Macaca fascicularis: one gene and its partners. Each later gene encodes a partner of the first gene's protein in a complex. Links are inferred from orthologs where the notes say so. Each region holds a gene or a part of one and is shown on either strand. Other genes may lie near its edges.

The links.
Region 2: the proteins of BAK1 (region 1) and PXT1 are in contact, whole or in part, in a crystal structure (PDB 8GSV), measured with the Homo sapiens proteins. The link is inferred for Macaca fascicularis from reciprocal best matches to the Homo sapiens genes BAK1 and PXT1. Residues at the interface, in NP_001179.1 of Homo sapiens: Ile81, Gly82, Asp84, Ile85, Asn86, Arg88, Tyr89, Glu92, Phe93, Met96, Leu97, His99, Leu100, Tyr110, Lys113, Ile114, Ser117, Leu118, Glu120, Ser121, Asn124, Trp125, Gly126, Arg127, Val129, Ala130, Phe134, Asn182; in NP_694535.2 of Homo sapiens: Ile78, Ile79, His80, Lys81, Leu82, Ala83, Met84, Gln85, Leu86, Arg87, His88, Ile89, Gly90, Asp91, Asn92, Ile93, Asp94, Arg96, Met97.
Region 3: the proteins of BAK1 (region 1) and BNIP5 are in contact, whole or in part, in a crystal structure (PDB 8IGC), measured with the Homo sapiens proteins. The link is inferred for Macaca fascicularis from reciprocal best matches to the Homo sapiens genes BAK1 and BNIP5. Residues at the interface, in NP_001179.1 of Homo sapiens: Leu78, Ile81, Gly82, Ile85, Tyr89, Glu92, Phe93, Met96, His99, Leu100, Tyr110, Lys113, Ile114, Ser117, Leu118, Ser121, Asn124, Trp125, Gly126, Arg127, Val129, Ala130, Phe134, Ala180, Leu183; in NP_001010903.3 of Homo sapiens: Ile246, Ile247, Gln248, Met249, Ile250, Val251, Leu253, Leu254, Lys255, Arg256, Val257, Gly258, Asp259, Gln260, Trp261, Glu262, Glu264, Gln265, Ser266.

Annotation. Positions count from the first base shown.
Region 1 is NC_088378.1:138,115,795-138,122,801, forward strand, and holds the start of BAK1 (bcl-2 homologous antagonist/killer), read left to right. Parts: upstream 1-2,153; 5' UTR 2,154-2,388; intron 2,389-4,445; 5' UTR 4,446-4,596; intron 4,597-4,757; 5' UTR 4,758-4,788; coding exon 4,789-4,858; intron 4,859-6,491; coding exon 6,492-6,627; intron 6,628-6,976; coding exon 6,977-7,007. UniProt on the Homo sapiens protein: Plays a role in the mitochondrial apoptotic process. Upon arrival of cell death signals, promotes mitochondrial outer membrane (MOM) permeabilization by oligomerizing to form pores within the MOM.
Region 2 is NC_088378.1:135,244,176-135,251,231, forward strand, and holds the start of PXT1 (peroxisomal testis-specific protein 1), read left to right. Parts: upstream 1-2,577; coding exon 2,578-2,607; intron 2,608-5,017; coding exon 5,018-5,195; intron 5,196-7,056.
Region 3 is NC_088378.1:135,332,602-135,339,672, reverse strand, and holds the start of BNIP5 (protein BNIP5), read right to left. Parts: upstream 4,768-7,071; 5' UTR 4,589-4,767; intron 1-4,588.

The DNA of each region.
Region 1 (7,007 bases):
TCTGCTGCCCAGGCCAGAGTGCAGTGGCGTGATCTTGGCTCACCGCAAACTCCGCCTCCTGGGTTCACGCCATTCTCCTGCCTCAGCCTCCCGTGTAGCTGGGACTACAGGCACCCGCCACCATGCCTGGCTAATTTTTTTGTATTTTTAGTAGAGATGGGGATTTCACCATGTTAGCCAGGATGGTCTCGATATCCTGACCTCGTGATCCGCCTGCCTCGGCCTCCCTTTTTTGTATTTTTAAAAGAGACAGGGTTTCGCTGTGTTGGGCAAGCTGGTCTTGAACTCCTGGCCTCAGGTGATCTGCCTGCCTAGGGCTCCCAAGGTGCTGGGATTACAGGCGGGAGCCACCATGCCCGGCCTTTTTTTTTTTTTAGACAGAACTCTCCCTCTGTTGCCCTGGTACGATCACAGCTCACTGCAGCCTCAACCTCCTGGGCTCAAGCAATCCTCCCACCTCAGCCTCCCCAGTAGTTAAGACCACAGGCATACACCACCATGCTTTGCTAATTTTTTTTTTTCCATATAAGCAGGGTATTGCTGTTGCCCAGGCTGGCCTGGAACTCCTGCACCTGGCCTCAAGCGATTCTCTTGCCTTGGCCTCCCAAATGGCTGGGATGGGATTATAGGCAGCCTGGAGGGGTGATGGGATTATAGGCGTGACACACCACAGCTGGCTGCCTTTTTTGTTGTTGTTGTTGAGACAGGGTCTTGCTCTGTCACCCAGGCTGGAATGCAGTGGTGCAAACATGGCTCACTGCAGCCTCAACTTCCGCAGCTCAGGTGATCCTCCTGCCTCAGTATCCTAGGTAGCTGGGACCACCACACGCACAGGTGTGAACCACCATACCCAGCTAGTTTTTAATTTTTTTTTCTGTAGAGACATGGTCTCCCTTTGTTGCCCAGGCTGGTCTTGAACTCCTGGGGTCAAGTAATCCTCCCACCTCGGCCTTCCAAAGTGTTGGGATTACAGGCGTGAGCCACCGTGCCCGGCCTCTATTGAGTTTTAATCTCCGTTTACTTCACTATCACCTTCAGGATTTCAGATCTCCAGAGACCACCAAGGTGCATGGTGCACAGGTCTGAATTGCAGGTTGAATCTCAATTTAGTATTAGTATTCCCCAACGCGACTACAGAACTGATTTTTTTTTTTTTTTTTTTTTGAGACGGAGTCTGGCTCTGTTGCCCAGGCTGGAGTGCAGTGGCTGGATCTCAGCTCACTGCAAGCCCCGCCTCCCGGGTTCACGCCATTCTCCTGCCTCAGCCTCCCGAGTAGCTGGGAGTACAGGCAACCGCCACCTCGCCCGGCTAATTTTTTTTGTATTTTAGTAGAGATGGGGTTTCACCGTGTTAGCCAGTATGGTCTCGATCTCCTGACCTCATGATCCGCCCGTCTCGGCCTCCCAAAGTGCTGGGATTACAGGCTTGAGCCACCGCGCCCGGCCCGAACTGATTATTACTATTTTTTTTTTTTTTTTTTTTTTTTTGAGATGGAGTCTTGCACCGTCCCCCGGGCTAGAGTCCAATGGTGCGATCCTGGCTCACTGCAACCTCCGCCTCCCGGGTTCAAGCGATTCTCCTGCCTCAGACTTCTAAGTAGCTGGGATTACAGGCACCCGCCCACCACGCCCAGCTGATTTTGTTAGCCAGAATGGTCTCAATCTCTTGACCTAGTGATCCGCCCGCCTCAGCCTCCCCAAGTGCTGGGATTACAGGCATGAGCCACCACGCCCGGCCCAGAACTGATTATTAACCCAGCTCAGTGACCTTTAGAGAGCACCTTAAACCAGCTGAGCCTCTGTTTGTTCATCTGAATGGGTATTGTCAACAGCACTCACTTACAAGAGTTGTTGAGAAGATCCAACGAGACAATAGTTGCTAAAGTGCCAGGCATGCAGCAGTGCTTAAGAAACTTCTCACCCTGGGTTTTTTATTGGTATTGATTGATGTAGAGATGGGGGAGAAGATCAAAGACAAGGATTGAGAATCAGGGATGGGAAAAGCAGTGGGCCACTGACAGCCGCTCTGCCTGGCTGGGAGGTGGGGTGGGGAAAGTGGGCGGGAGCTGCTCCTGGGCCTGGCCCACCCAGATCACCCCTCCGGGCTGCAGGCCTGTGCGTCTGCATCCGGTGGCCACAGAGCAACTTCCTCTAGAGGGAGCTGATTGGAGCCGGTTGCCGCTGGCACCTCTATGATCACTGGAGTCTCGCGGGTCCCTCAGGCAGCACAGGGACAAGCAAAGGCTACATCCAGATGCCAGGAATGCACTGACGCCTGTTCCTGGAAGCCGAGCTCCCACTCAGCCCCTGGGAGCAGCAGCCGCCAGCCCCTCGGGACCTCTCTCTCTGCCCTGCTGAGCCACCCGGGTTGGGCCAGGATCCTGGCAGGTAAGCTGGAAGGGTCCTGCCCGTCCTCCCAAATCTCAGCAGCCCCAGCCCCAGGGTGGGGCAGGGAGCCTGCCAGGAGCCGGGTGGGGAAGGGGAAGCTCAAAGCTTACCTGGGCAGGTCCGCCTGCCCGGCTGGGGACCTGATCGTGGCAAGCCTACTTCTGGCTGCCCCTCACAGCTTCCCCTCTTGCCCCAGCCCTGGATGCCGGAGAACTGTGAGAACTGGGTCCTTTAACAGTCTGGGAGATGGGGGTGGAGGTCAGAGCCAAGGTCAAGGGCAGAGAGAGAACTTTCTCAGCGCTTCCTGCTGCCCAACATCCCTAGACTGGGTCCAGGGCCTGGCCAGGCATGTATCCCTGGGGAACATTCATCAGGGCCCAGCAAGCCCAGGAAGTCGGGGGTGGCTCCCCTCACCGGGAATTTAGGCCACTTGGATTGGGGGACAGAGCTAGGCCTGAGTCAGCATAGGTTGCTGGCCTTGGGGGGTGTCCTGAGGCTCTACCTGCTCCCCTCAGGAGCCTGGGTTGTTGGTAGAGGGAGTTGGGGGTGCCGTCAGCATCCTCTGGCCCTACTGTCCTGAGGGTGCTGGGTTCTGGAGACTGGGGAAGAAGGAAGGCCATCTTATTTAAGGAGCTCCGGGGGGGTGGGGGTTTTATTTTTTGTTTTTTGAGACAGAGTCTCACTCTGTTGCCCAGGGTCGAGTGCAGTGGCGCGATTTCGGCTCACTGCAACCTCTGCCTCCCAGGTTCAACCGATTCTCCTGCCTCAGCCTCCCGAGTAGTTGGGACTACAGGCGTGCGCCACCATGCCCAGCTAATTTTTGTATTTTTAGTAGAGACGGCGTTTCATTATGTTGGCCAGGCTGGTCTTGAACTCCTGACCTCGTGGGCCACTGTGCCCGGCTGCAAAGTTCTGTTTTAACAAGGCCTTGCCCCTAGAGGTGGAGGAAAGGAGAGTCTGCCTTCGCCCTGTCCGTGTCCGGCAGAGCAAGGAGTGGGGAGCTGGGTGAGGGCACAGGTGGTCCAGTCCTCCTCCACCCCTTCTCGAGAGCTCTTGGGGCAGTTTCGAAAACACTCCCAGGCCTAGCGGAAGGAGGGTGGGCGAAGGTCCCCAGGCCCTGGGCGGTGGGGGTGGGGCTGTGTGCTTGGCCCAGGGTGGGGCTGCACACCCCCTGCCTCTGAGATAGGAGGAGGGCGCTTTCCTTCTGAGGGCCGGAGGGTGCCTGGGGAAATGGGGCTCTGGGAGGGGTGCAAACTGAAAGTGAAACAGCTGACATCCAGGAAACGCCCTGATGAGGGGTCACAGCACGTTGGTGCTGCGGTCGGGACCAGGCAAAGAGGAAAGTTGGCTGGGGACAGAAGACTAGGTGTGTGGTGGGAATACGAGGCAGGTTGTGGGGCTTCGAAGAAGGCCCTGATCCTGAGGGCTCCCTCCGGTCACTGCAAGGCAGGGGTGAGGAAGGCACAGGCAGGAGGTAAACAGGGAAAGTTGCCCTGAGAAGGGACACCCTCTGAGGTCCACAAACAAGAAGAAATCTTAAATGCTTGTTGAGTACATGGACTCATGGAGATTCAGACAAACAACCCGACTTTCCGTCACTAATGATGTGACCTCGGGCACTCAACTCTTTATGCCTCACTTTTCCAGGCTGCAAAGTGGGTATGATGGTGCTCACCCTGCTGGGTTCATGTGAGTTTTCAATGTTCAACACCCAGAGTGCTCCTAAGTGGGAGAGTATATCTTAGGCTCTCAGGAAATGTTTGCGGCTAACAGCCCAGAGTTAAAAAACAGGTGTGTTCTGACCAGCCAGAGGGAAGTAGGGCCTCTGAGGGCAGCCTTCATGGGCCATTGGCTGGGCAGTGGCTCGCTTGCAATAAGCATGTGCTGGGTGGGCTGCAGGAGGCCCCAGGAACAGCTAAAACCCCCCAGGCTCTTGCCCCAGGAGTGGTATGAGCTTGAGAGCCAGCGGGCACTGCTGCAGCCACACTCTCCTCGAGGGTGCAGATACCTCAGTCTGCCCTTGGCTGCCTCACCTTCTTACCCTGTCTCCCTCGAAGGGTCACCAGTGAAGTGCTCAGAAGTTGTTTCCTCCCAGCAGACTTCACTGGGACCCATGCTGGAGTGAGAATAAAAAGTCCCAGAGGAAGCCAGGCACAGTGGCTCACACCCGTAATCCCAGCACTTTGGAAAGCAGAGGCAGACTCACAGGTCAGGAGTTTGAGACCAGCCTGGCCAAAGTCCCAGAGGACTGAGGGCCTTTCTGGGAATGGGGAACCCTCTCTCCTATGTGGACATGGCAACCTGTCTGGGGTCCCCAATCACAGGTCCATGCTCACCCCATCTCTGCTTTTTCTCGCCCATCCCCGCAGGCTGACCCCGTCCTCCACTGAGACCTGAAAAATGGCTTCGGGACAAGGCCCAGGTCCTCCCAGGCAGGAATGCGGAGAGCCTGCCCTGCCCTCTGCTTCTGGTAAGGGTCTTCCTGCCCCTCACCCATCCCATAACCATGAGTGCTGTCATAAGGATGGAAGGAGCAGGACTCAGAGGCAGGCTCCTTCACCTCGGTTCACCCACTGTGGGTGGGAACCCACGGGCTCAGAGGCTGAAGCTGCTGTCAAGGTTAAGCCTGGGAGGGGGAGGAGTCTGGACTGGGGAGGGCCTGGAGGTTGGGAGAGGCCAGGAAGTGAGTGTAAGGTGGGCACAGTGCCACCGGAGCAGAGGGCGGGGTCAGGGGCGAGGGAGGCAGGAAGTAGAGTGAGGTCTGGCTGCTGTATCCCTCCAGCTGGAGAAATAAGGAAGTAAGCTGGCCAATCACCCAGTCAGGTCTGCTCAACAGGGAACGCAATTATTGTGACTTGGGGAGGAAGTAAGATGGCTGCCCTCCTTCCTTCTTCCCAGGGGACAGCCAGGGAAGCCCCAGCTCACACCCCACGGTGGGCTGTTCCCTGGACTTGGGAATCAGCTCCCAGGTCTGTCACTATCTCCCTGTGTGACTTTTCTGGGTTGAGGCTACAATTTCAGATTTTGTTTCCCACATTTCCCTGCACACAAAGGGCTGCGGAGCTGAGATGTACTAACGTAGACTCAAGAGCCCAAATGCCCGGGACTGTCCCAGCTCCCCGGCTTGTTCTGGCTATATGATCTTGCACACGTTAGACACCCTGTGTCATTTTCCCCCTGAAATCTGGAGATTGCCTGCTCCCAGGGCTACTGTGAGGACCCAATGCAAGTGCTGGAACAACTCTCCACACAGCATAAGTTCTAGGGCGGCTAAGGCTCTGAAGTAGGGATCTTTCTTTTCTTTCTTTTATTATCTTTCTTTCTTTTCTTTTCTTTTTTTTTTTTTTTTTTTTTTTTTTTTTTCTGAGACGGAGTCTTGCTCTGTAGCCCGGGCTGGAGTGCAGTGGCCGGATCTCAGCTCACTGCAAGCTCCGCCTCCCGGGTTTACGCCATTCTCCTGCCTCAGCCTCCGGAGTAGCTGGGACTACAGGCGCCCACCACCTTGCCCGGCTAGTTTTTTGTATTTTTAGTAGAGACGGGGTTTCACGGTGTTAGCCAGGATGGTCTCGATCTCCTGACCTCGTGATCCGCCCGTCTCGGCCTCCCAAAGTGCTGGGATTACAGGCTTGAGCCACCGCGCCCGGCCAAGCCACCGCGCCCGGCCCTTTCTTTTCTTTCTCTTTCTTTTCTTTTCTTTTCTTTTCTTTCCAGAGTTTCACTCTTATTGCCTAGGCTAGAGTGCAGTGGCGCGATCTTGGCTCACTGCAACCTCCGCCTCCTGGGTTCCAGTGATTCTCCTGCCTCAGCCTCTTGAGTAGCTGGGATTACAGGCATGTGCCACCACGCCCGGCTAATTTTGTATTTTTAGTAGAGACGGGTTTCTCCATGTTGGTCAGGCTGGTCTTGAACTCCGGACCTCAGGTGATCTACCCGCCTCGGCCTCCCAAAGTGCTGGGATTATAGGTGTGAGCCACTGTGCCCGTCCAGGATATTTCTTTCCATGGGTGAGGACAGCTATGGCCTTAGGAAGAGCGAACCCTCTATAAGGCATGGGGCTGCCAGGGTTCGGCCCTCTCTCCCTGACTCCCAGCTTTGATCCTCAGAGGAGCAGGTAGCCCGGGACACAGAGGAGGTTTTCCGCAGCTACGTTTTTTACCGCCATCAGCAGGAACAGGAGGCTGAAGGGGCGGCTGCCCCTGCCGACCCAGAGATGGACACCTTGCCCCTGCAACCTAGCAGGTAAGTTACAACCGCTGGGCCCACAAGGACATCTTCAGGGAGGCAGTGGCTCGCACGGGTCTCTGTGCAGGTCCTGGGAGCTGGGGAGACCTGAGGGGTCTTGCCCTTCTCTCATGGTTGCTCCTCTTTCATGTTGGGCTCCCACCCCCATCCAGGACCTTGTATCCTTTTTAGCCCATGCCCGCTCCTTGTCCCAGAGGCCAACACTCGTGTCTTAGAACATTGTCGGGGACCTCCAAGAAGGGGTGCACAGGGCCATGGACAGCTCAGGCAGAACCCCTCTGCCATGAGCCAAGGCCTGGCCCTGACTGCCTGGTTCCGCTCACCTGCCTGCCTCCTGCTCCTACAGCACCATGGGGCAGGTGGGACGGCAGCTGGCC
Region 2 (7,056 bases), about 2.9 Mb from region 1:
AGTATATAAATTTTCTACTGCTGCTGTAACAAATGACCACAAACTTAGTGGCTTAAAACAATACAAATTTATCTTACAGTTCTAGAGGTCAGAAGTCTAAAATGAGTTGGCAGGGTTGCATTCCATCTGGAGGCTCTAGGAGAGAATCCATCTCATCTTTTTCAGCTTCTAGAGGCTGCCTGCATTCCTTGGGTTATAGATTCTTCTCATGTCACTCGGACCTCTGCTTCCATTGTCACATTTCTTTCTGTGAATCTGGCCCTCTTGCCTCCCTCTCTAAGGATTATGTGATTAGGTTGAGCCCAGCTAATCCAGGATAATCTCTTCATCTCAAGAGCTTTAATATAATTACATCTACAGAGTCCATTCTGCCAGGTAGGGTAACATATTCACAGGTTCTGGGAATTAGGATGTGGATATTTTGTGAGGCTGTTATTTAGCCTACAACACATAGACAGCAAAATGTGAACCCATAGATGAATTAATAATTAACAAAAGAAATGATAGGAGATTTACTTTTTTTTTTGGAGATGGAGTGTCGCTCTGTCACCCAGGCTGGAGTGCATTGGTGCAATCTCACCCCACTGCAACCTCTGCTTCCTGGGTTCAAGCGATTTTCCTGCCTCAGCCTCCCAAGTAGCTGGGACCACAGTCATGTGCCACTATGCCTGGCTAATTTTTGTATTTTTAGTAGAGACAAGGTTTTGCCATGTTGGCCAGGCTGGTCTCGAGCTCCTGATCTCAAGCACCTATCTGGGCCTCCCAAAGTGCTGGGATTACAGGTATGAGCCACCATGCCTGGCCAAAAGCTTTACTTCTAATGCATTTTAAGCTTTATATCAGAACAACCCACAAAGAAGATAAAATAAATTATTTTATTAAGTAAAAGCTTTCATAAATATATATCAAAATAATAAGACTTGGCCCGGCATGGTGGCTCACGCCTGTAATCCCAGCACTTTGGGAGACTGAGGCAGGTGGATCACTTGAGGTCAGGAGTTCGAGACCAACCTGGCCAACATGGTGAAACCCCATCTCTACAAAAAATAAAAAATTAGCCAGGCACGGTGGCATGCACCTGTAATCCCAGCTACACAGGAGGCTGAGGCAGGAGGATCGCTTGAACCTGGGAGGTGGAGGTTGCAGTGAGCCGAGATTGCACCATTGCACTCCAGCCTGGGCCAAAGGAGTGAAACTCCATCTCAAAAAAAAAAAAAAAAAAAAAAAAAAAGTAAAGGAAAAGAAAATAATAATAATAAGACAAGATACCTAACATAAACCAGTAATTATTAAATTGACAACATACATCAACTAAATGGTTGCTGAAGCATGTGCAGATACATTCTCATGCTTTCATGAATTCTGAGATTTCCTGGTTATATATAATATTTTCAGGTAGGGCCAACATTTCTTAAGGGTATTTATGCAATTTTTTTTTTTTTTTGAGACAAGATCTCACTCTGTTGCCCAGATTGGAGTGCAGTGGTGCCATCTTGGCTCACTGCAACCTCTGCCTCCCAGGCTCAAGCTATTCTTCTGCCTCAGCCTCCTGAGTAGCTGAGATTACAGGCATGCGCCACCATGCCCAGCTACTTTTTGTATTTTTAGTAGAGACGGGGTTTCACCATGTTGGCCAGGCTGTTCTGGAACTCCTGACCTCAATTGATCCACCCGCCTCTGCCTCCCAAAGTGCTGGGTTTACAAGGGTGAGCCACTGTGCCCGGCCTGGTAATTATCCAGTTATACTAACAGTTACATAAAACAGCATAGTGTTTTTCTGACATTTATGTACATATATATGTATATATTTTTTCTTTCTTTCTTTTTTTTTTTTTTTTTGGGACAAGGTCTCACTTTGTACCCCAGGCTGGAATGCAGTGGTGTAAACACGACTCATTGCAGCCTCAATTTTCCAGACTCAAGTGATTCTACCTCAGCTTCCCGAGTAGCTGGGATTACAGGTGTGCGCCACCACGCTAATTTTTGTATTTTTTTGTAGAGATCAGATTTCACCATGTTGCCCAGGCTATTCTCAAACTCCTGAGCTCAAGCAATCAGCCCACTTCGGCCTCCCAAAGTATTGGGATTCCAGGCATAAGCCACACCACTTCTGGTCCTGACATATATTTTAAAATAAGTTTTAGGCTGTGCACGGTGGCTCATGCGTGTAATCCCAACACTTTGGAAGGCCGAGGCGGATGGATCACCTGAGGTCGGGAGTTTGAGACCCGCCTGGCCAACTTGGTGAAACTCCATCTCTACTAAAAATACAGAAATTAGCTGGGCTTGGTGGCACCACTGCACTATAGCCTGGGTGACAGAGCGAGAGACTCCGTTTCAAAAAAAAAAAAGGTTTTAGATGAAAAATATAATTAGCATTAATTATTTTCCATAAGTACCTATTAACATACTGCAGTATTGTTTGAGGGAAATTATAATAAAAACCTACTTGGGAAAAATAAAATCCAACATTCTTGATAGTTTAGTTTAAAAGGCTGTGGTTAGATATTTTATTCTCAGTTGTCTAGCAATGTTACATGAATGACTAGTACAAAATGACAGTTTCACAATAGGCTGATGGGTAAAGCTGTCAGCCAGCTCTTTCAGGTAAGAACCTCGCCTGGTAGCTGCATCTTGATGATCAACTTTGCTCATTTAGGAACAGTTTTTTTTTTTTTTTTTTGAGTCTCACTCTGTCGCCCAGGCTGGAGTGCAGTGGCACGATCTCGGCTCACTGCAACCTCTGCCTCTAGGGTTCAAGCCATTCTCCTGCCTCAGCCTCTTGAGTAGCTGGGACTACAGGCATGTGCCATCACACCGGCTAATTTTTTGAATTTTTAGTAGAGACGGGGTTTCACCGTGTTAGCCAGGATGGTCTTGATCTTCTGACCTCATGATCCGCCCGCCTTGGCCTCCCAAAGTGCTGAATTACAGGCATGAGCCACCGCACCCAGCCAGGAATTTTAATACTTTTATCAGTTCATCCAGGTCTGATCTGGCTCTGACACATGAGCTGAACAGCATGTCTTACTTGACAAATCAAATTAGGGTCAGAAGTTTGCCTAATGAGTCTAGTTAAAATGCCAGGCTGCCCAAGGCACTAAAAATGCCCAGAAACCCACAACAACTCATTTCTCAGCTCCCTTTCCCCCAGTGTGGCCTGAATTACAAACTTAAGCAATATATTGAGGTAGCATTCTACACTGGAAAATGTGGTACATTTGAAAAACGATGAGTCACAATTCTATTTGACAGTCTTTCTCCCCTTGGTTTGTATGGCTGGCTGTCCGGTAAAGTACAGTACAGTAGCCACTGACTGCATGTGGCTACTGAGTACCCAAAATGTGGCTAGTCTGAATTGAGATGTGCTGTAAGTGCAAAATGCATACCAGATTTTGAAGACTTAAATTAATAAGAATGTAAAATAATTCATTAATAATTTTTTATATTGATTACATGTTGAAATGATAATATTTGGATTTATTTGGGGATAGAGTAAATAAAATATATCATTAAAATTAATTTCACTCACTTCTTTTTACTTATTAAATGTAGCTACTAGAAAACTTAAAACCATATATGTGGTTCACTTATTTGTATTAGACAGCACTGATGTAAGGCTCCTGAAGTCCGCCTCTATTATCTTAGCAGCTCATTGTGGTCTTATCCATTCTTTGCCTTTGCAGTAACTTAGATTTAGAAGTTAGAATAGCAGGTAGATTTAGGAGGTAGAATAGAAAGTTTTGAACCCTGTGGCCACCCTTCAAGTCAAAAGAATTAAATGCCCAGGAAGACAACAAAAGTCATAATGCAGCCGGGTATGGTGACGACTCACGCCTGTAATCCCAGCACTTTGGGAGGCCGAGGCGGGCAGATCACGAGGTCAGGAGTTCAAGACCAGCCTGGCCAACACGGTGAAACCCCGTCTCTACTAAAAATATAAAAATTAGCTGGGCGTGGTGGCACACACCTGTAATCCCAGCTACTCGGGTGGATGAGGCAGGAGAATCGCTTGAACCTGAGAGGGAGAGGTTGCAGTGAGCCTAGATGTGCACTCCAGCTGAGATGTGTACTCCAGCCTGGGCAACAGAGCAAGACTCCGTCTCAAAAAAAAAAAAAAGTCTTAATGCAATTCTTCATCTCATTTGGATTTATTCTACAATATTGGAGGGGAAAAGGGAAAGGAGGCAGAAGAGTAATCTTCATATAAGTGTTTGCAGAGACAGAATGTGTGTGTATGAAGGATCAAAGAGGACTATGAGAATTATTTTGGGGAGGAAACACACACACCCACGAGGAAATAGGACAAAGAGTGTGTTGTATTCCATCTCCACCCCTCTCCACCTCTCTAGGTTTTGATCTACTTTATTTTGGCTATACCAATTTTTCTCTCTTTTTCTCAGTGTACCAATTTACACACTTCCCCTGATGGAATGTGGCTCTTGAAAAGAGGCCAGGCACCGTGGCTCACGCCTGTAATCCCAACCCTTTGGGAGGCTGAGGTGGGTGGATCACCTGAGGTCAGGAGTTTGAGACCAGCCTGACCAACATGGTGAAACCCTGTCTCTACTAAAAATACAAAATTAGCCAGGCATGGTGGCACATGCCTGTAATCCCAGCTACTCAGGAGACTGAGGCAGGAGAATTGCTTGAACCCAGGAGGCAGAGGTAGCAGTGAGCCGAGATGGCGCCATGGCACTCCAGCCTGGGCAACAAGAGCGAAACTCCGTCTAAGAAAAAAAAAGAGAGAGAGAGAAGAAAGACTAATGGGAGATAAGGATGCAGGCAGGTGTAATAGGTGATAAGGATGCAGCAGCCTAGAAAGATGTTTAACTAAATTGAAAAAGACCTCACTCTGGTCCACCTTCTACGCTAATCCACCTTCTACTCTAATCCATAACTCTCTTATATGTGGAATAAATGCTGCTGATATTGTTAAAACATTAATATTTATCCAAAATACCAAATATTTAACTGAGAAATGGGGGAAAGCCTCTGAAAATATGTTTTTCAACAGGGAAAAAACAAGAAGAAAAAACATGATGGCATTGTTTATGAAACTAAAGAAGTTCTCAATCCATCTCCCAAAGTAACAAATTGTTGCAAATCACTGTGGGTAAAATACAGTTTTCAGAAGGCATACATGACCCAACTTGTCAGCTCCCAGCCAGTTCCAGCAATGTCAAGGAACTCAGGTAAGATCTTATTTGGATTAAACTAAGATAAATAGTTTACTTAGCATGTGTTTTTCTTGATATTAAGACCATAAAATTGGACATTTTATATATATATATATATATTTATTTATTTATTTTATTATTATTATTTTTTTGAGATGGAGTCTCACTCTGTCGCCCAGGCTGGAGTGCAGTGGTGCGATCTCAGTTCTCTGCAACCTCTAGCTCCTGGGTTTAAGTGATTCTCCTGCCTCAGCCTCCCGAGTAGCTGGGATTGCAGGCGCCCGCCACCATGCCTGGCTAATTTTTTCATATTTTTAGTAGAGACGGGGTTTCACCATGTTGGCCAGGCTGGTCTTGAACCCCTGACCTCAACTGATCCCCCCTCATAGGCCTCCCAAAGTGCTAGAATTACAGGCGTGAGTCACTGCGCCTGAATCACATTAAATATATTATTTAAATATGAACTATAAGAAAATCTATTCATCCCGGTTCTTAGGTGGCAAAAATCTAAAAGTGACTTTGCTTCATGGTACTAAATCTCTTTAGTTTCTATTAGCCCTGAATCATTGCTGTGACGACCAATTAAGGTAATCCCAAATGGGCTAAAAATAGATCAAATTTATCTTTTAATAAAAATTAGTCTTTAAATTGGACCTGATAGTGTCTGTATTGTTAAGGTAGGGAACATTCAGATTAGATTTCTTCTTGATTTTGCCACTAGAAGAGAGAACATGAAGGAAAGATAAATTTGAAATTTTACGTTGCAAAAATGTGATTCCTAAATGTCCCAGAATGCTGGAAAAGTAGTTTTATGTTTTGAAGAGCATTAAAGGGCAGTGTTAGGTAAATTTATGAGGTTTTAGACTTTTAGATAAAAAATATGCTAGATACCCGAGAGGGATTATGAACATTAATTTCAACCTAATATCTAATTTTAAAATAATTACATGCCTCCTGAGAAAGTGGAAATTTCAAGCATCCTGATAGTTGCTTGCCACCACACCAAATACTTTTTTTGTTTTTGTTTTGTTTTGTTTTTTTGAGACAGAATCTCACTTTGTCGCCCAGGTTGGAGTGCAGTGGTACAGTCTTGGTTCACTGCAACCTCCGCCTCCCGGATTCAAGTGATTCTTCTGCCTCAGCCTCCCAAGTAGCTGGGATTACAGGCGTCCGACACTACGCTGGGCTAATTTTTATATTTTTAGTAGAGCCAGGGGGTTTCCATCATGTTGGCCAGGCTGGACTCCTGACCTCAAGTGATCCGCCGGCCTCAGCCTCCCAAAGTGCTGGGATTACAGGCGTGAGCCACTGCGCCCGCCCTGCTATCCATTTTTTAGAAAGCACTGAATTGACTGAAATTTTGGATCTTCTTCTTCTTTTTTTTTTTTTTTTGTTTTTGAGACGGAATCTCGCTCTGTCGCCCAGGCTGGAGTGCAGTGGCGCGATCTCGGCTCACTGCAAGCTCCGCCTCCCGGGTTCACGCCATTCTCCTGCCTCAGCCTCCCGAGTAGCTAGCACTACAGGCGCCCGCCATTAGGTCCAGCTAATTTTTGTATTTTTAGTAGAGACGGGGTTTCACCGTGTTAGCCAGGATGGTCTCGATCTCCTGACCTCGTGATCCGCCCGTCTCGGCCTCCCAAAGTGCTGGGATTACAGGCGTGAGCCACCGCGCCCCGCCTGAATCTTCATTTGTTAATTCCGTTGTCAACAATTATTCCCCAAAGTCTGAGATTGTGTCACCTATGAACACGTTCTAGGAACTTGTATTTATTTTTGAGACGTAATTCACTTAACATAAAGTTCACCCTTTTAAAGTGCACAGTACAGAGGGTTTTAGTATACTCACAAAGTTGTGCAAATCGTCGCCACTATTCTA
Region 3 (7,071 bases), about 2.8 Mb from region 1:
CGTACCAGCCTCCATCACCCCTCTGACCACATCTCTCTCACTCCACTCCACACACACAGCCCTGCTTGCTGTCCTTCAGGCCCGCCCGCCTCAGCGCCTTCACACTGGCCAGTCCCTCTTTCTAGAACATTCTTCCCTCATGGAAAGAATGAGTTTGTTCATGGTTTGTTCCCTCACTTCCTTTGGGGCTGTACTCAACTGTCACCTTCCCATCGAGGCCCTCCCTGCCCACTTCCCATCAGCGCACCCTTTCCCCTCCTACCCTATGCGCTGGTGGTGTGCAATGTCGTGTCTTTATGTGTTTAGTTGTTTTCTGTCTGAGTCTCTCTCCATCTCCTGTGTCTATTTTGCTAGGTCTTCTGTCTTTGAGTGCCTAGAACAATGTCTAGCATATCACTGCTACTGAATAAGCACTTATTAAACAAATGCATAGATGTATAACATTTAGTAAATGGCACAACACATAAGGTATCTTTGGATGTGTAGTTAACATGAAATCACTGCTTTCAGGCCAATTTCATCTTAGAGCAGTAGGGACTCCTCCATTCTCCATCCAGAATGAAGCAGCGGCCAATGGAAAAAGACAAAAAAACCCTTTCCCTCCCGGGCAGCATTTCAAGCAGGCCTGGGTGTGGGCGGTGCACTTCATTTGTGTGTCTTTAATTTAATCTAAAACTGCTGGGGCTTTCCAATTTTTCCAGAGTTGTTCAGAAGGCCTCTTCCCTTCAGTGGAAGGTAAAAGAAAAATAAAATATGGTTTTGAATGCCAAACCTGAGCCCCTGGAGAGTCCTGTGGAGTTTAGGACCACAGGTTGCCTGCTCTAATTTGTCATTACAGCTTTAGCATGCATTGACCAAGTAATGTTTAGTGGTATGGGATGTACTCTAAAATGTATTCTATTGCTATGCTCAGCTTAGAGGCAAAAATAAGAATCTATAATTGCAATTTCTTATGTGTGGGATCCACAGGAAAGTGAAGAAGATACAGAGAAAGAAGAAAAGAAATGGGAACACACATATTTGAAGGTGACATGAACATTTGGGATGCCTTCCCTCCTCCAAGCACCCGTCTGGGAAGGAAACCAGACGATATTGCAGCCCCAGGTCGCCAAGGCCAGAGGCCATTGGAGCCAAGTGTCCACACGTGGATGACCTTGGAGGAAATGAGAAATCAGGTCGGGGTGGAGGCAGGCAATTTAAAAGGACTTATTTGTTATTTAATGTTCCTTAAAAGGAACATCTGGGCTACACGGAAACTTTTAGCAGTATGTATCTGTACCTTATATGGAAATTCACTAATATTCCTGAAAGACTCAGAGACTGGCTGCCTTACGGTTGTGTTTCCGAAGACAACGGGGGGTAGGACAAGGAGAAGAAGTCATGGGGAAAAATTTATGTTTGTTCTCACTTATTTCTCTCAAAAAACATTTAATAAGCACCCACTCTGCACCAGAAATTATGCTCGGTGCTAGGGATACAATCATGAACGAGATGCAGTGTGTGCCCCCAGAGGGAATATTCTGGTCTTCTCTGAACGCGCAGGAATAAGGATGTGAGTACACAGTGATGACAGCAATGTTCCATTCCCCTGCATCTGCTGTCTCTTCAGAAGCACATGGTCTTAAAAGAAGATAAATTTAGGTTGAAGTTCTATGTGATTTAAGATCATATTTTTAAAAAAGTAAGCCGAGCCAGAAATATTTACTGAACGCTGTCAGGGTTCTCTCTGCGTTTTCCATATGTTCCTGTGGTCAGGGCAAATTGGATGGGGTTGGCAGAGAAGCTGTTCATTAACAAAACCACAGAACCAGGACACTCTTGTTCAGCTCAGCCTCTCTTCCGTCTGCACAGATTTGGCTCCATGGGACCCATCGCACGGAGGGCCAGTGCTTCCTTACCCAGTTAACGGGAAGAGAGACGCAGTCATCTTTTAAAGAGCTGTCATTGCCATGGAAACGGTTTTCGCCACTGCCAATGGCGGCAGTATCCTCCTAATGCATTCCAAGGACACGCTGCTCCTCCTGATCAGAACATTAACACAATCCCACCAGCACATGCTTTCCCTGACGTTTTTTCAGGAAAGCTACTGTGATTTGGCCACCCCCTCCCTGGAATAACCGGTGCCCTGAGCCCATGGGGAGATGCGAGAAACTAAGGCCAGGAGCCCCGCAGCTGCTGCTGCAGCCCAGAGGCAGGAAGGGGGCCGGGTGACGCCCAGCCTCTGCTACCCAAGAGTTTCCCCAATGAAGAGATTCCAGGGTCTCCCAAGGCTTCCTAATTCCAAATCCAGTGACCTCTTCCCATGCCTTGTCCTCCCTAACGTGCTGCAGCATTTGATACCAGCCCTACTTCCTTCTTTTCTCTTTCCTCTCTGGGTGGCTGTGACTGTGCTCAGTCCAGCTCTCTCCTCCCTCTCCCCCGCTCCAACTGCTCCTCCTCTGTAATGTTTCAAAGATTGTCTTCAGCTCTGGGCCAGGGATTGAGAGAGTGCGGCTGACTGGGGAAGACACACCAACACGCCCCCAGGAAGACCCCTGAAGAACCTCTGTGGATGGTGTGTCCTCAGACTTTTAAAGTCTCTAAGCCCTGGGAAGCTTGTCTTTTAATCCTAATAACCTCCCCTTTCCTACCTGTGCCAAAATTAAAGACTTTCCAAGTATAAAATTCTGCTATCCAGGATTTATCAAAGCAAGACTTTCCTTTCTTCTTCTTTGTTTTGTGCCCCAGGTGCTCAACTACATTCAGCCCGACCACCAGGGAATCCCACCCCGCGCAGGCTGTGCTCCAGACTAGGAACCCTAAGCCAGCAGCGCGGCCTCACTATGCGGAAACCCAGCTGCTCTCGTAAACTTGTTGTGGATGTCAGAGCAAAGTCCAAATCAGCTCAGAAATACCCGAGTGATCTACAGATCACAAGACTTCTTCTGATAAGATGTGGCATTTACTGGTGACATGTCCAGCAACAGCGACAAAGAACCAGAGAAGGCTCACGAAGCTGACCCTGGAGCAGGAAGTTTGCCTGCCTTCCCCAAGCTTGCTGCTGTGTATTGTTTACTTTCTAAGTTGCACGGTGACCTCATCTCTATGCTGTTTGCTAATTTGTTCACCTGGCCGCCTTACCCTCTAACTGCTCTGGTGCCTTTCATGGAGATAACTTTGCGGCTCTCCTTTTCCACCCATGATTCACACAATAGAAACTTCACAGAGAGAAAACCTGCGGCACACCCACAGCAGCACCCTGAGGGACAGAGTGTGTGGCACACACACGTGGACCCACAGTCAACACCACAGACATCCACGTGTCACCAGAACACACTTGTGCACACCACAGACCTACACGGACTCAAGACGCCCTGTATTTCTCCTGTCCCAAGTGTAAAGGAATAATTATATGACCAAGCTCACTACTTGCCATCGGTGCTAACTCTAAGTTCCGTGAGAGGGGACCTGAGCCTGGGAGGCTCTCGGTGTTCGTGAAACAAATAAATGATACATAGGCACGTGAAAACCCAAACCATCTCACCTTCATGCAGCCACACGGCGTCCAGAGAGCCCTTTCCTTTACATGATCTCATTCCATCTTTGCCAAGGGCTGTGACTCAGATGGGCTAACAGTGGTGCACTGAGGCTCTCAACCATTAAGAGACACGCCCCAGGTCACATAGCCGGGAAGCAGAGAGCTGAGACTCGAATTCACTTCTCCTGATCTGAATCCTATCTTCTCTATTCTACACCAAATGGCCTCATGTAAGCATAGATACACATGCACACACTTACATACAGACTTAGAGGGGAGAAACCTGCTCTTTCACACTGATGGAAATAACCACATTCACATACACACCTACAGTGACCTGTGCACACAGAGTCACACAATCACGTGTGCCTAGGTATAGACACCCATGCCCTCCCCACCCCATTCTGTCCTCTATCCAAGACCACGGGCAATGCAACACTGCGTGAGGAGTCGGTCAGGACTGTGGGTTATAATCCACCCCCAGCCTCTAAATTCCCATCCAAGAAAGCAGTAGACCATGAGTTTTTTTAATAAGATCTCCCCGTTCTTGGACTAACTTCCGAAACCTTAAAACTCATAGAATCTTAATTCAACCATAGGTAATAATAACACCTCCCATTTATCGGGGGTCCCCTCATGTACCTTCACATAAGGTCTAGAACTCGACGTCTACCACATCCTATAGGGAAACTAGCAGGTGAGCTATGTAATGCTGCCCCATCCTACAGACAAGAAAACTGAGGCCCAAGGAAGTGAAGTTCCTTGCTCAGGGTGCCGGCTAATAAGCAGGATTGGGACTTGAATACAGAGTTTTAAGTCCAAGTGAGCCCAGAGCTCTTTGAGAAACACCCCATTGAGATAATGTCACTGAACCCTGCTTCATCTTTTTAGAGATAAGAAAACTGATTCCCCCACCTCCACCCCTGCTGCCTCTCTGGGAGGGCCCAGCATGCTGGAAGCAGAATTGGAACTGGACTCTTGGTTTGACTCCCAGGACTAAACTCCTCTCCGGACCCCAAGATACATACCCACTGCTCCAGCCCCCAAAGGAGAGGGTATTGTTCAACCAACCTTGGACCACAGAAATCGCTTTTGTCCTGAACACCCGGGGCCGGGATCTTCAGACAGGAGGTCTCTGTGGTAGGCTCTCCTCCCTGTCAGCTGGAAGTTGTGTCCAATGAGAAGTCAGACCCAGCTCTCCCAGGGAGAAGATGCCACGACTTTGGTGCTGACAATTTTCTGAGTGTCTCAGAAGATGCTTTGGCCGTCCATATATATAGTATCTTCCAGGAGCTGAGCTCATGGCAGCCAATCCAGAGAGCCATGGGCTGGCTCACCTGCCTCCACCTGTTACCACCCAACCCAGGGCTGCTCCCCGCTCCTCCAATGATAGGAGGCTTAGCTCAGCTACCCTGGAAAAAACAGTTTCACTTGACAACTTCCTTATTGCACCCAAACCCCAATAAGAAACCAAAGCTCAGAAAATAACCTAAGGTCTGGCTGGGGAAAGCCCCACCTTAGAGTTGAAAACAAGCCTTAATGGGAAACGCAGGTTAGGGAAGAAAGTGGAGGTAGCTTTACTGCCTTTACAACATCCCTCAGTTATCTTTGAAGATTAGTGGGTACCTAGAAAGAAAGGTCAGCGATGGGATACATACGTCCCTTGACCTGGAGACAGCCCAGAAGAAAGAGCCCACAAGAGCCACCTGCTCCAGATCTGCTGCGCCCGGGAAGGGTTGCCACGGATCTTGAGAGAACATTCTAAGAAGTCCTAAAAAGTCAGAGTTCCACTTTCTGTAATGCCTTATTTAAAAAAAGAGTGTAAATACATGTTTATAATCAGAAAAGAAAAACTAGTTTTATTAAAATGAAAGCAAAGGCCGGGCGCGGTGGCTCATGCCTGTAATCCCAGCACTTTGGGAAGCCAAGGCAGGCGGATCACATGAGGTCAGGAGTTCAAGACCAGCCTGGCCAACATGGTGAAACCCCATCTCTACTAAAAATACAAAAATTAGCCAGGTGTGGTGGCAGACACTTGTAATCCCAACTACTCAGAAGGCTGAGGCAGGAAAGTCACTTGAACCCAGGAGGCAGAGGTTGTAGTGAGCTGAGATCACGCCACTGCACTCCAGACTGGGTGACAGAGCGAGACTCTGTCTCAAAAAAAAGTTAAGAAATTCTATTTTGGTTCATTAACACAGGGAGGCATTACAAAATAAATACGGAGGCACCAGACTTTGGAGTCAGCCCCGTCTGGAGACACCTGCCAGCTATGTAACCTCAGCAGAGGACACAATGTCGCTGAGCTTGTGCTCACTTATAAAACAAGTGGTCATCTCAGAGGGTAGTTGTAGGGCCAAATGTGCTAATGCTTATAAAGAAAAGAAGGAGGCCAGGCATGGTGGCTCACATCTCTAATCCCAGCACTGTGGGAGACCAAAGCAGGAGGATTGCTTGAGCCCAGAAGTTCAAAACCAGCCTGGACAACCTAGTGAGATCTTATCTCTACTAAAAATTTTAAAAATTAGCCAGGCATGGTGGCACATGCATGTAGTCTCAGCTACTCAGGAGGCTGAGGCAGGAGGATTGCTTGAGCCCAGGAGGTCAAGGCTGCAGTGAGTCGTGATCATGCTACTGCACTCCAGCTTAGGCAGCAGAGTGAGATCCTGTGTCAAAGGAAAAAAGAAGAAAGGAAGGAAAGGAAGGAAAAAAAGAAAGAAAAGAAGGAAGAAAGGGAGGGAGGGAGGGCGGGCGGAAGGAAGGAAGGGAGGAAGGGAGGGAGGGAGGGTATGGAGTGCCAAACATCTTTCTTTCTGTGTATTAACAGTGCCTGGTACTTGTAAGGGTTCAATAAAGGCCCAATATTTTATTACGGGCAACAGAGTTATTAATGCTTCATTCATTCTGTCAACAGGTTTTGGATCCAGCTATGTGCCAGACACTGTCTCAGCACTAAATTTAGAGTTTATTAGTCAAGAAGTCACCCAGCCTTCAAACAAAGGTTAAATAATATTACATATTTTTCATTTATTTAATGAAACTATTCTGTCACCCACTTCTTCCAGGCCCTGTGTGTATTGTATGTGTTCTTTCTTATTCTGAGGTGAATATGCCTGGCCTGGCCCAGCCCTCACAGAGTCCACAAAGTAGTTGGGAAGAGAGAAACACACAGAGAAAACCATACAAGCAAGCAGAAGGGAATGGGAAGTTGTTTAATGCATACAGAGTTTCAGTTTGAGAGGAATGTTGTACCACCACCTCCACCATTGAACCATCTCCACAACTTTTGAGATGTGGAGGATTTTCACAAGGCAAACTCAAACTCAACTTTTGAGTTGTGGAGATGGTTCAGTGGTAGAGAGTGGTACAACAATCAAAATGTACTTAATGCCACTGCACCGTACACTTTAAAAAGGTTAAAACAGTCAACTTTATGTCATGCATATTTTACCACAATAAAAAGAAGGGGAGGGGCAGAGAGCCACGTGGGACACTGTGCAGGCACCTCCCATGTACCCAGCAATCCCATCTGCAGGTACATGCGCTCCTAGGTT